Linked DNA regions of Anolis sagrei. The protein of the gene in region 1 interacts with the protein of each later gene in a pairwise test. Links are inferred from orthologs where the notes say so. Each region holds a gene or a part of one and is shown in the gene's direction. Other genes may lie near its edges.

Region 1 (3,760 bases):
ACCCACTGTGCCAAAGGGGTTCCCTTATTATTATTAATTATTATTAATTATTAATTATAATTAATTAATTAATCCGCAATTGTTTTGTCTTAATCAGCATTCTCCAAATATTATCATTTTCTTATTTACTATTAATAATTATTTTCATATTAATTAATTATAATTAATTAAAAATAATTATTAATAGTAAATAAGAAAATGATAATATTTGGAGAATGCTGATTAAGACAAAACAATTGCGGATTAATTAATGAAGTAAACACTCCACAATTGTTTTGTCTTAATCGGCATTCTCCAAATATTATTATTTTATTTACTATTAATAATTATTTTAATATTATTAATTAATTAATTAATTAATATTAATGAATATTTAAAAATATTATTATTAATATTAAAAATAATTATTAATTAATAGTTAATAATTATTATTTTCTTATTTACCATTAATAATTATTTGAATATTAATTAATAATTAATTATTATTAATTAATATTAAAATAATTATTAATAGTAAATAAGAAAATAATAATAATTATTAACTATTAATTAATTATTATTATTATTTAATATTTTTAATATTAATATTAATTATTATTATTTAATATAATTTAATATTAATTAATAATAATAATAATAATTATTAATTAATATTAAAATAATTATTAATAGTAAATAAGAAAATAATAATATTTGGAGAATGCTGATGAAGACATTGCGGAGTGTTTATTTCTTTTCAACACATCAAAGGATTGATTTCAAAGATCCCATACATAACCCGTCCCATTCCCCCCTTTTTTCCCAGAATGGTTTATCCCTACTCCTCCTAGGAACGCGCAGGCGCAGACGTCACAAGCGCGGCCAGTCACGCGCGAGACTGGCCCAGGCTGAGGCGAGGTTTCACACCAGCCTCGCCCCAGCTTGTTCTGCGCACGCGCAAGGAGGGAGGGAGGGCAGGCAGGCGAGAGAAGCTCGAGGGAGTTCCCAAATGCTCGGCGAGAGGGCGCCTTGACACGCCTACCTCCGTTGTGCGCCTGCGCGACACGCCCGCTCGGTTCCCCCCTCCTCCCCTGATCGCGCTACTGCGCATGCTCAGTTCCATCCTTGCTCCTTTTCGTTTCTGTCAGTCGGCGCCTGTCCGTTGAGAGGAGCGGTCGCTCGGTTGACTCGAGGCTTCCTTTTTGTCCCCTCCCGCCCGGCGAAATGGCTGAGCCCGCGACCCAATCTCCGTATATCTCTTCCTCTGCCGGGAGCGGCTCCTCGGAACCGGGAGGCGGGCGAGACGCGAAAGGAGCCCACCAAGCCTGTGCGGGTAAGGGGAGCGGGGGGCGGGCGACCTGAGGAAAGGAACAGCCGGGGGGAGGGTGGCTGGAACAGCCTGCTGGTGGGCGCGAGGGAGGAGGAGGAGGAGGTGGGCGGGGCTTAACGGGAAACCCTCTTAAAGGCACACGACCCCCTTTGAAGCAGTCTCACCAAACACCTGGAGGAGAACATCCAAAAATGGCTTGTCAGTTGGGACAGAGCCAGGTATTGTATTGCTCTGCATTGATGCAGAAATTAATGGCAAATAGAGAGTGAAGAAGGGGAGCCAAGAAGATAGAACTCCCCCATGTCTCCCTTCCCCATGTGCTGTGCTAATAATACAATTTAATAATACAATAATAATACAATAATGCCAATAATACAATAACACAATTTCAATATATTGTATACATATTGAAATTAAAATGGAACACAGTATAATACCAATAATAAAATATAATTTTATATTTTATATTACATATAATATTACAGTATAGTGGTATAGTACAATATAGTGATGTATAATACTAATATTGTGCTGTGCTAATTATTTATTTATTTATTTATAATATAATATATATTGTATACACATATAATATTGATATTAAAATGTAACACAGTATAATACCAATAATGCAATTAATAATACAATATAATTGTATATTTCATATTACATGTAATATTACTAATAATACAGTATAGTGATATAATACAATCTAGTGATATATAATACTAATATTGTGCTGTGCTAATAATATAATATATATTGTATACACATATAATATTGATATTAAAATGTAACACAGTATAATACCAATAATACAATATAATTATATATTTCATATTGCATGTAATATTACTAATAATATTACATTATAGTTGTATAGTACAATATACTAATATTGTGCTGTGCTAATAATATAATATATTGTATACATATATAATATTGATATTAAAATGGAACACAATAATGCAATATAATTAGATATTTTATATTGCATGTAATATTACTAACAATATTACAGTATAGTGTTATAGTACAATATAGTGATATATAATACTAATTGTGCTGTGCTAATAATATATATATTGTATACACATATAATATTGATATTAAAATGTAACACAGTCTAATACCAATAATGCAATATAATTATATATTTATAATACTAATAATACAATATAATTATATATTTCATATTACATGTAATATTACTAATATTATAGTGTTATAGTACAATATAATGATATATAATACTAATATTGTGCTGTGCTAATAATATAATATATTGTATACACATATAATATTGATATTAAAATGTAACGCAGTATAATACTAATAATAATACAATAATACAATATAATTATATATTTTATATTACATGTAATATTACTAATAATAGTACAATATCATTGTATAGTACAGTATAGAGATATATTATACTAATATTGTACTGTATTAATAATATATATATTTGATACTCAGTGATATTAAAATGTAATGCAATATAATACCAATAATACAATATAATTATATATGTTATATTGCATGTAATATTACTAATAATATTACAGAATAATGTTATAGTACAATATAGCGATATATACTAATATTGTGCTGTGTTAATATAATATATTATTATGTTTTGTATCGATGTTGTATCGATAATTATATATTTATATTACTAATAATACAATATAATTATATATTTCATGTAATATTACTAATAATATTACAGAATAGTGTTATAGTACAGTATAGTGATATATAATACTAATATTGTGCTGTGCTAATAATATAATATATTGTATACTCATATAATATTGATATTAAAATGTAGCAGTATAATACCAATAATACAATATAATTATATATTTCATATTGCATATTACTAATAATATTACAGTATAGTTGTATAGTACAGTATACTAATATTGTGCTGTGCTAATAATATAGTATATTTTACACATATAATATTGATATCAAAATGTAACACAGTATAATACCAATAATACAATATAATTTTATATTTTATATTACATATAATATTACAGTATAGTGTTATAGAACAATATAGTGATATATAATACTAATATTGTGCTTTGCTAATATTATATATTGTATACACATATAATATTGATATTAAAATGTAACACAGTATAATACTAATATACAATATAATTATATATGTATAATACGAATAATGCAATATAATTATATTTTTCATATTACATGTAATATTACTAATAATATTACAGTATAGTGATATCATACAATCTAGTGATATGTAATACTAATATTGTGCTGTGCTGATAATATAATATATTGTATACACTTATAATATTGATATTAAAATGTAACACAGTATAATACGAATAAAACAATATAATTATATATTTCATATTACATGTGATATCGCTAATAATATTACAGAATAGTGTTATAGTACAATATAGT
Region 2 (3,760 bases), on another chromosome or scaffold:
TCCTTCCTTCTTCTTCCCTCTCTCCTTTTCCCTTTTTTCTTCCCCTTTCACTCCTTCTTTTCCCATTCCTCCCTCCTCTTTCCCTTTCATTCTCTCTTCCACTCTTTCCCTTCCCTCTCTCCTCCTCTTTTTCTCCTTTTTCTCTCCTCCTTTGCCCCTTCCTTTCTCTCCCCCTTTCATTCCCCCAGCCTGTATTCCTTCTTTCCTCTTCCCTCTTCCTTTCTTTCTCTCCTTTCTCATTCTCTTCCACTCTTTCCCTTCCCTGTCTGCTTCTCCCCTTTTTCTCCTCTTCCTCTCCTTCTTTGTCCCTTCCTTTCTCTCCTCCTTTCCCTCTCCCACCCTTTATTCCTTCCTTCTCTTTCTCTCCTCCTCCTTTCCCCCTTCCTTTCCTCTCATTCTCTCCCTCCCTCCTTCTCCTCTTTCCTATCCCCCTTTCTTTCTTTCCCTCCCTCTCGTCTTCCTGTCTCTCCCTCTTTCTTTCTTTCTCTCCTCCCTTTCTCATTCTCTCTTCCACTCTTTCCCTTCCTTCCCTCTCTCCTCCCCTTCTACTCTTCTTCCTCTCCTTCTTTGCCCCTTCCTTTCCTGTCTGTATTCCTTCCTTCCTCTTCTCTCCTTCCTTTCCCCCTTCCTTCCTTCCTCTCTCATTCCCTCCTTCCTTCTTGTCCCCTCTTTCTTTCTTTTCCTCCCTCTCTTCTTCCTGTCTCTCCCTTTCTTTCTCTCCTCCTTTCTCATTCTCTTCCACTCTTTCCCTCCCCTTCCCTCTCTCCTCCTCTCCTCTTTCTCTCCTTCTTTGCCCCTTCCTTTCTCTCCTTCTTTCCTTCCCCCAGTCTGTATTCCTTCCTTCCTCTTCCTTCTCTCCTTCCTTTCCCCCTTCCTTCCTTCCTCTCTCATTCCCTCCCTCCTTCTTGTCCCCCTCTTCCTCTCCTTCTTTTCCCCTTCCTTTCACTCCTTCTTTCCCTCCCCCAGTCTGTATTTCTTCCTTCCTTTTCCCTCTCTCCTCCTCCTTTCCCCCTTCCTTCCTTCCTTCCTTCCTTTCTCATTCCCTCCCTCCCTCCTTCTCCTCCTTCCTGTCCCCCTCTTTCTCTCTCTCCTTCCCTCCTCTCTCTTCTTCCTGTCTCTCCCTCTTTCTTTCTCTCCTCCCTTTCTCATTCTGTCTTCCACTCTTTCCCTTCCCTCTCTCCTCCTCCCCTTCTTCTCCTTTTCCTCTCCTTCTTTGCCCCTTCCTTTCTCTCCTTCTTTCCTTCCCCTAGTCTGTATTCCTTCCTCTTTTCTCTTTCTCTCCTCCCTCCTTTCCCATTTTCTCTTCCACTCTTTCCCTTCCCTCTCTCCTCATCCCCTTTTTCTCCTCTTCCTCTCCTTCTTTCCCCCTTCCTTCCTCTCCTTCTTTCCCTCTCCCACCCTTTATTCCTTCCTTCCTTCTCTCCTTCTCTTTCTCTCCTCCTCCTTTCCCCCTTCCTCTCTCATTCCCTCCCTCCCTCCTTCTCCTCCTTCCTGTCCCCCTCTCCCTCCCTCCCTTCTTCCTGCCTCTCCCTCCTTCCTTCTCTCTCTCTCTCCTCCCTCCTTCCTTCCTTTCCCTTCCTGAATGAGCCTCCCTCCCACTTGTGAATGGAGCCCAGGCAGGAGGAAGGGGCGTGGCTTGGGCTTGCGGAGTGGGCGTGGCTTAATGCCCGGGCCTGGCGTCGCCCTGCTTTGCAGGAATTTGCAAAAAAAAAGGGGAGCCATGGGTTGCAAGGGGATTGGGGGCAGAGGAAAAGCACCGCCTGGGAGGAAAACCACTGGAAGGTTATGATCGCCTGGATCCAGCCTTGGACTACACTCTCTGCCCTCCCCACTTTTTTTTGGGCCCCCAAAGGGGAAATTGGAGGTATTTTGCACCCCTTTCCCCACTGTTTTGGGGCCCTGCCCCACATATTTTCAGCAATTTTCTCCATTTGCAGCATGCATTTGACAAATTTTATATTTTCCTTGATTGCAGGAGCAAAAGCTGGGTGCAATAACTCTTTAACAACAAATAATTAATATTAATACTTTGCAAAATAATATTATTTTTTTCTGCTTTGGAAACTATATCAATAGAATATTTATTTGTAATTTTTTTTATATATGCAATGCTAAATCCAAGAAGAACTGGAAGAAGGTCCAACTTGGGGTGTTCCCACCCCCCAAAATTCAAGATTTAAAGGGACCCAGTTTTGTTTTAGTTGGTTTTTTGGCTTTTTCCTTTTGCAAAAAGTGGGAAGAAAACTCAACACAAAAAAAAGCAACACAAAAAAAAAGACTTTGGGGTCAAAGTGTTTGGGAAACTTCCACTTCCTTTGCTTGAGAAATGGCTGCAGAATTGAGCCCAGAAGAAGAGCAGGTAAGACCCAAAGGGGAGAGCTCAGTGTGTCTGGATTGAATTGTGTTGTTGTTGTTGTTGTTGTGGGCCTGCAGATTGGAAATTGGAAATGCAGGCCCTCTCTTTTCCTTCCTCCTCTCTTTTAGGCATTCTGATTTTTGCATTGCCTCTTCCACCAAGCTCCATTTCCTATTCATGTGTACAAATGTGTGTGTGTGTGTGTGTGTGTGTGTGTGTGTGTATTGTATATATGTGCACATAAATACACACATATATCACCCACCCACACATTTATAGAGGGAAAATGCCAATGTGTATGTGAATGTGCACATATATATTTATTAACTGCATTTATACACACACACACACATATAGTATATATGTGCACATAAATACACACACATATATCACCACACATATATAGTGGGAAAATGCCTATGTGAATGTGCACATATATATTTATTAACTGCATTTATACACACACATATAGTATATATGTGCACATAAATACACACACATATATCACTCACCCACACATATATAGTGGGAAATGCCTATGTGTATGTGAATGTGCACATATATATTTATTAACTGCATTTATACACATACACACATATATTATATATGTGCACATAAATACACACACATATATCACCCACCCACACATTTATAGAAGGAAAATGCCAATGTGTATGTGAATGTGCACATATATATTTATTAACTGCATTTATACACACACACACACACACACATATATAGTATATATGTGCACATAAATACACACACATATATCACCCACCCATTCATATATAGTGGGAAAATGCCAGTGTGTATGTGAGTATGCACACACATATATTTATTAACTGCATATATATATTACAATATGTAAGTGAGTGTGTGTATGTGTATATATATATATATATATATATATATATAGTATATCTGTGCACATAAATACACACATATATGCACCCACCCACACATTTATAGTGGGAAAATGCCAATGTGTACGTGAATGTGCACATATATATTTATTAATTGCATTTAATTGTGTGTGTGTGTGTGTGTGTATATATATATATATATATAGTATTTATGTGCACATAAATACACACATATATGCACCCACCCACAAATTATTTATTAACTGCATATATATATATATATATACATACACAACATACAATATGTGTGTGTGTGTATAGTATATATGTGCACATAAATACACCCATATATGCACCCACCCACACATTTATAGTGGGAAAATGCCAATGTGTATGTGAGTGTGCACATATATATTTATTAATTGCATTTAATTGTGTGTGTGTGTATATATATATATATATATATATATATATATAGTATTTATGTGCACATAAATATACCCATATATGGACCCACCCACACATTTATAGTGGGAAA
Region 3 (3,760 bases), on another chromosome or scaffold:
GTATTACATTATATTATCAATATTATATGTGTATACAATATTTTATTAGCACAGCACAACTGTACTATATTGTTACCTGCTGTAATGCAACCTGAGCCCTGCTACATGCACAATGGAGGACCTTCTTATAGTAACACCAGAGACACTCCAAGTGGCCAGTTACTGGTATTTTATTTATTTATCGTGTCAGTATCAACCAGATAATTGTGTTGCTGCAAGAAGGTCCTCCATTGTGCATGTGGCGTGGCCCAAGTTGCGTTGCAGCAGGTGGTCTGTGGTTTGCTCTTCTCCACACTCGCATGTCGTGGATTCCACTTTGTTGCCCCATTTCTTAAGGTTGGCTCTGCATCTCGTGGTGCCAGAACGCAGTCTGTTCAGCGCCTTCCAAGTCGCCTAGTTTTCTATGCGCTCAGCAGGCCCGTAGCCAGGATTTGGATTCGGGGGGGGGGGGCTGAGTTTGTTTCGGGGGGGGGCTGAATTCGAGTGAAAGAGAGTCTACCCTAGCAAAACTTTTGTATCGTTACCCCAATACCCCCATGCATATGGGATATATTGAGTATGGTGATCAGATCATGATATGAATAAACGTAACAGTTTAAATAATGCACCGGTAAGGCCTTTTCACGAACCACCAAGAGAATTTCGGGGGGGGGGGGGGCTGAAGCCCCCCAAGCCCCCTCGCCCCCCGCTACATGCTTGCCGCTCCGGGGGGAGTCTCTCATTTGATATCAGCCATTGATTGAGGTTCTGGGGTTTGAGCCTGCCACTTTTGGACTCTCGCTTGCTGAGGTGTTCCAGCGAGTGTCTCTGTAGATCTTAGAAAACGATTTCTTGATTTAAGTTGTTGACGTGCTGGCTGATACCCAAACAACAGATGAGCTGGAGATGTCTCTGCCTTGGTCCTTTCACTATTGGCTGCTACTTCCCGGCGTATGTCAGGTGGTGCAATACCAGCTAAACAGTGTAATTTCTCCAGGGGTGTAGGGCACAGACTGGTCAAAAGACATTTAATCAACTACCAAGCTTGCAAACTTTGTGTTTTGTCTGTTTGTTAAAAAATGCAATACAACTGGTTTTGGGGGGGGGGGGGGGGTTGCTCCTGACACGATAAATAAATATTATATAGCTTAAGCGGCTGAGGGAGGAAAAGGAAGGGATCTGAGGCTGTTAGGAATGGTGAGAGTTGGAAGTCCAAAACACCTGGAAGGAAGGCCCAGGCCTGGTGTAGCTGCACCCTCAGTACCACCAAAGAGGAGCAAGATACGGGCCTAACAGTGAGGAGAAACCGAGGAGCCACTCCTTCCTGAGAAAAAGGAGGCAGAAGAAGGGCCCCGAAGCTCCCTCAACGTCCACACACCTCAAGTCTCCTTAGAGGGCTCCAACACCATCACCACCACCACTTCCTCCTCCACGATTCAAAATGGCGGCCGGGCGAAAGAAGTAACCCAACAGGCAAGTGAAAGGAAACGCGCCTCGAGCTACGTCACAAGCCGAGTGACAGTTGGGCCGTCTGCGCCCGCGCCGCTTGGCCCCGCCCCCTCACCACCCACACACAAATCCTCCCAGAAGCCACCGCGCATTGAACAGCGACGAGAGGAGGGAGTGAGGAAAAGAAACCAACCAGGGACTACATTTCCCAGCAATCCCTCCGAGTGGGAGGGGGAGGGAGCGAGCGCGGAAAGGGCTTGGCGGAGAGTGGTCTAGCCTGCCGATAGCGCGAGCTCGGCGAGTAAGATGGCGACGGAGGGAGCAGTTCTTCTCTGAGGAGGAAGAAGAGGAAGGAAAGGAAAGGAAGGAAGGAGAATGGTTGGCTCCACAATCTCTCGCTGAGGGGGAAAGCTGCACTTGCCGGCAGTGGCCGAAAGGGGGCCGCGGAAGGAAGGGGCCTCGAAGAAGGAGAAGGAGAAGAAGGTGTCAGTCGGTCAGGTAGCGCCGCCTCTGCTTCGCTCGCTCTCGGCTCTTTGGCGGCGGCCAACGACGTCTCCATGTCGGACAACCAAAGCTGGAATTCCTCAGGCTCCGAGGAGGATCCCGAGACCGAGTCTGGGCCGCCTGTTGAACTCTGCGGAGTCCTCAGTAAGGTAAGAAGGAGGAGGAGGAGGAGAAGCGCCTGTTTTCCTTCCGCAACAGACTGAATGAGAGGTTTGTGGTGTGTCCCTCCGTCGAGGCGCCTCACCTGAGGAGAGGAAATGGAGGAAGGTCCTGCTGCGAAAGAGGGCGCGTCTACGCTGCAGATTTAATCCAGTTTGACACCACTTGAACTGCCATGTGATGGAATCAAGGGAGTTGTAGTATTATACGGCCTCTATCCCCTCCATACTGCGGATTAAGTCCACGCTGCAGATTTAATCCGGTTTGACACCATATGATGGAATCAAGGGAGTTGTAGTTTTAAAAGGCCTTTATCCCCCCCCCCCTCCGTACTGCAGATTAAGTCTAGCTTTAATCCAGTTCAACACCACTTGAACTGTCATGTAATGGAATCAAGGGAGTTGTAGTTTTATAAGGCCTTTATCCCCCCCCCCTGCAGATTAAGTCTAGATTTAATTCAGTTTGACACCACTTGAAATGCCATATGATGTAATCAAGGGAGTTGTAGTTTTACAAAGCCTTAACCCCCCCCCCCCCCCAATTGCAGATTAAGTCTAGATTTAATTCAGTTTGACACCACTTGAAATGCCAAATGATGTAATCAAGGGAGTTGTAGTTTTACAAAGCCTTAACCCCCCCCCCCCAATTGCAGATTAAGTCTAGATTTAATTCAGTTTGACACCACTTGAAATGCCAAATGATGGAATCAAGGGAGTTGTAGTTTGACAAGGCCTCTATCTCCCCCCTTGTACTGCAGATTAAGTCCAGATTTAATTCAGTTTGACACCACTTGAACTGCCATATGATAGAATCAAGGGAGTTGTAGTTTTACAAGATCTTTATTCCCCTCTCTTACTACATTAAGTCCAGATTTAATCCAGTTTGACACCACTTGAATTGCCATATGATGGGATCAAGGGAGTTGTAGTTTTACACGTCGTTAACCCCCCTTTTTTGTAAGAGACTGCTAGTGCCTCAACAAACTACAACTCCCACAATTTATTTATTTAGTTTTACAAGATTTTTATCCCCCCCCCCTTGTACTACAGATTAAGTCTAGATTTAATTCAGTTTGACACCACTTGAAATGCCACATGATGGAATCAAGGGAGTTGTAGTTTTACACGTCATTAACTACCCCCTTTTTTGTATGATAGTGCTAGTGCCTCAACAAACTACAACCCCCACAATTTATTTATTTATATCCCGTTTTATCTCTCCATACAGAGACTCAAAAACATTGCAACTAAAAATATACAATAATAAAACAATATATCATTATATATTATCAGTAGTAATTTATTTATTTATTATTTATTTATTTGGGGTTCTTTTACCCCGCCCTTCTCACCCCGAAGGGGACTCAGGACGGCTTACAAAAGCAAAGGCACAATTTGATGCCTGCATCATAAAGACAATCAAACACAGAATTACATCAATACACAGTTAACAACAAATATACATTATAACCATAAAATCAATAAAACCAAATACAAACCCAATTGCTCCTCTTACATGGTCAGCGTTCGCTACTCATAGATCTATTTTTACGTTCCACTTCATCAATCCTGCTGGTCTTACTCGCCTGGTTGTCTGATTTAGTTGCCGGAGTGGCCAAAGGCCTGGTCCCATAACCAAGTCTTCACCCTTCTCCTAAAGGCGAGGAGGG

What was found.
Region 2: the proteins of RTN3 (region 1) and PTPN9 interact in binary tests that used the Homo sapiens proteins (3 or more experiments, as listed by UniProt). The two-hybrid records come from large-scale screens. The link is inferred for Anolis sagrei from reciprocal best matches to the Homo sapiens genes RTN3 and PTPN9.
Region 3: the proteins of RTN3 (region 1) and CERT1 interact in binary tests that used the Homo sapiens proteins (3 or more experiments, as listed by UniProt). The link is inferred for Anolis sagrei from reciprocal best matches to the Homo sapiens genes RTN3 and CERT1.

What each region holds. Positions count from the first base shown.
Region 1 is NC_090032.1:17,096,149-17,099,908, reverse strand, and holds the start of RTN3 (reticulon-3), read left to right. Parts: upstream 1-1,073; 5' UTR 1,074-1,203; coding exon 1,204-1,312; intron 1,313-3,760. UniProt on the Homo sapiens protein: May be involved in membrane trafficking in the early secretory pathway. Inhibits BACE1 activity and amyloid precursor protein processing. May induce caspase-8 cascade and apoptosis.
Region 2 is NC_090029.1:8,641,748-8,645,507, reverse strand, and holds the start of PTPN9 (tyrosine-protein phosphatase non-receptor type 9), read left to right. Parts: upstream 1-1,544; 5' UTR 1,545-2,326; coding exon 2,327-2,359; intron 2,360-3,760. UniProt on the Homo sapiens protein: Protein-tyrosine phosphatase that could participate in the transfer of hydrophobic ligands or in functions of the Golgi apparatus.
Region 3 is NC_090022.1:263,954,841-263,958,600, reverse strand, and holds the start of CERT1 (ceramide transfer protein), read left to right. Parts: upstream 1-1,583; 5' UTR 1,584-1,985; coding exon 1,986-2,081; intron 2,082-3,760. UniProt on the Homo sapiens protein: Shelters ceramides and diacylglycerol lipids inside its START domain and mediates the intracellular trafficking of ceramides and diacylglycerol lipids in a non-vesicular manner.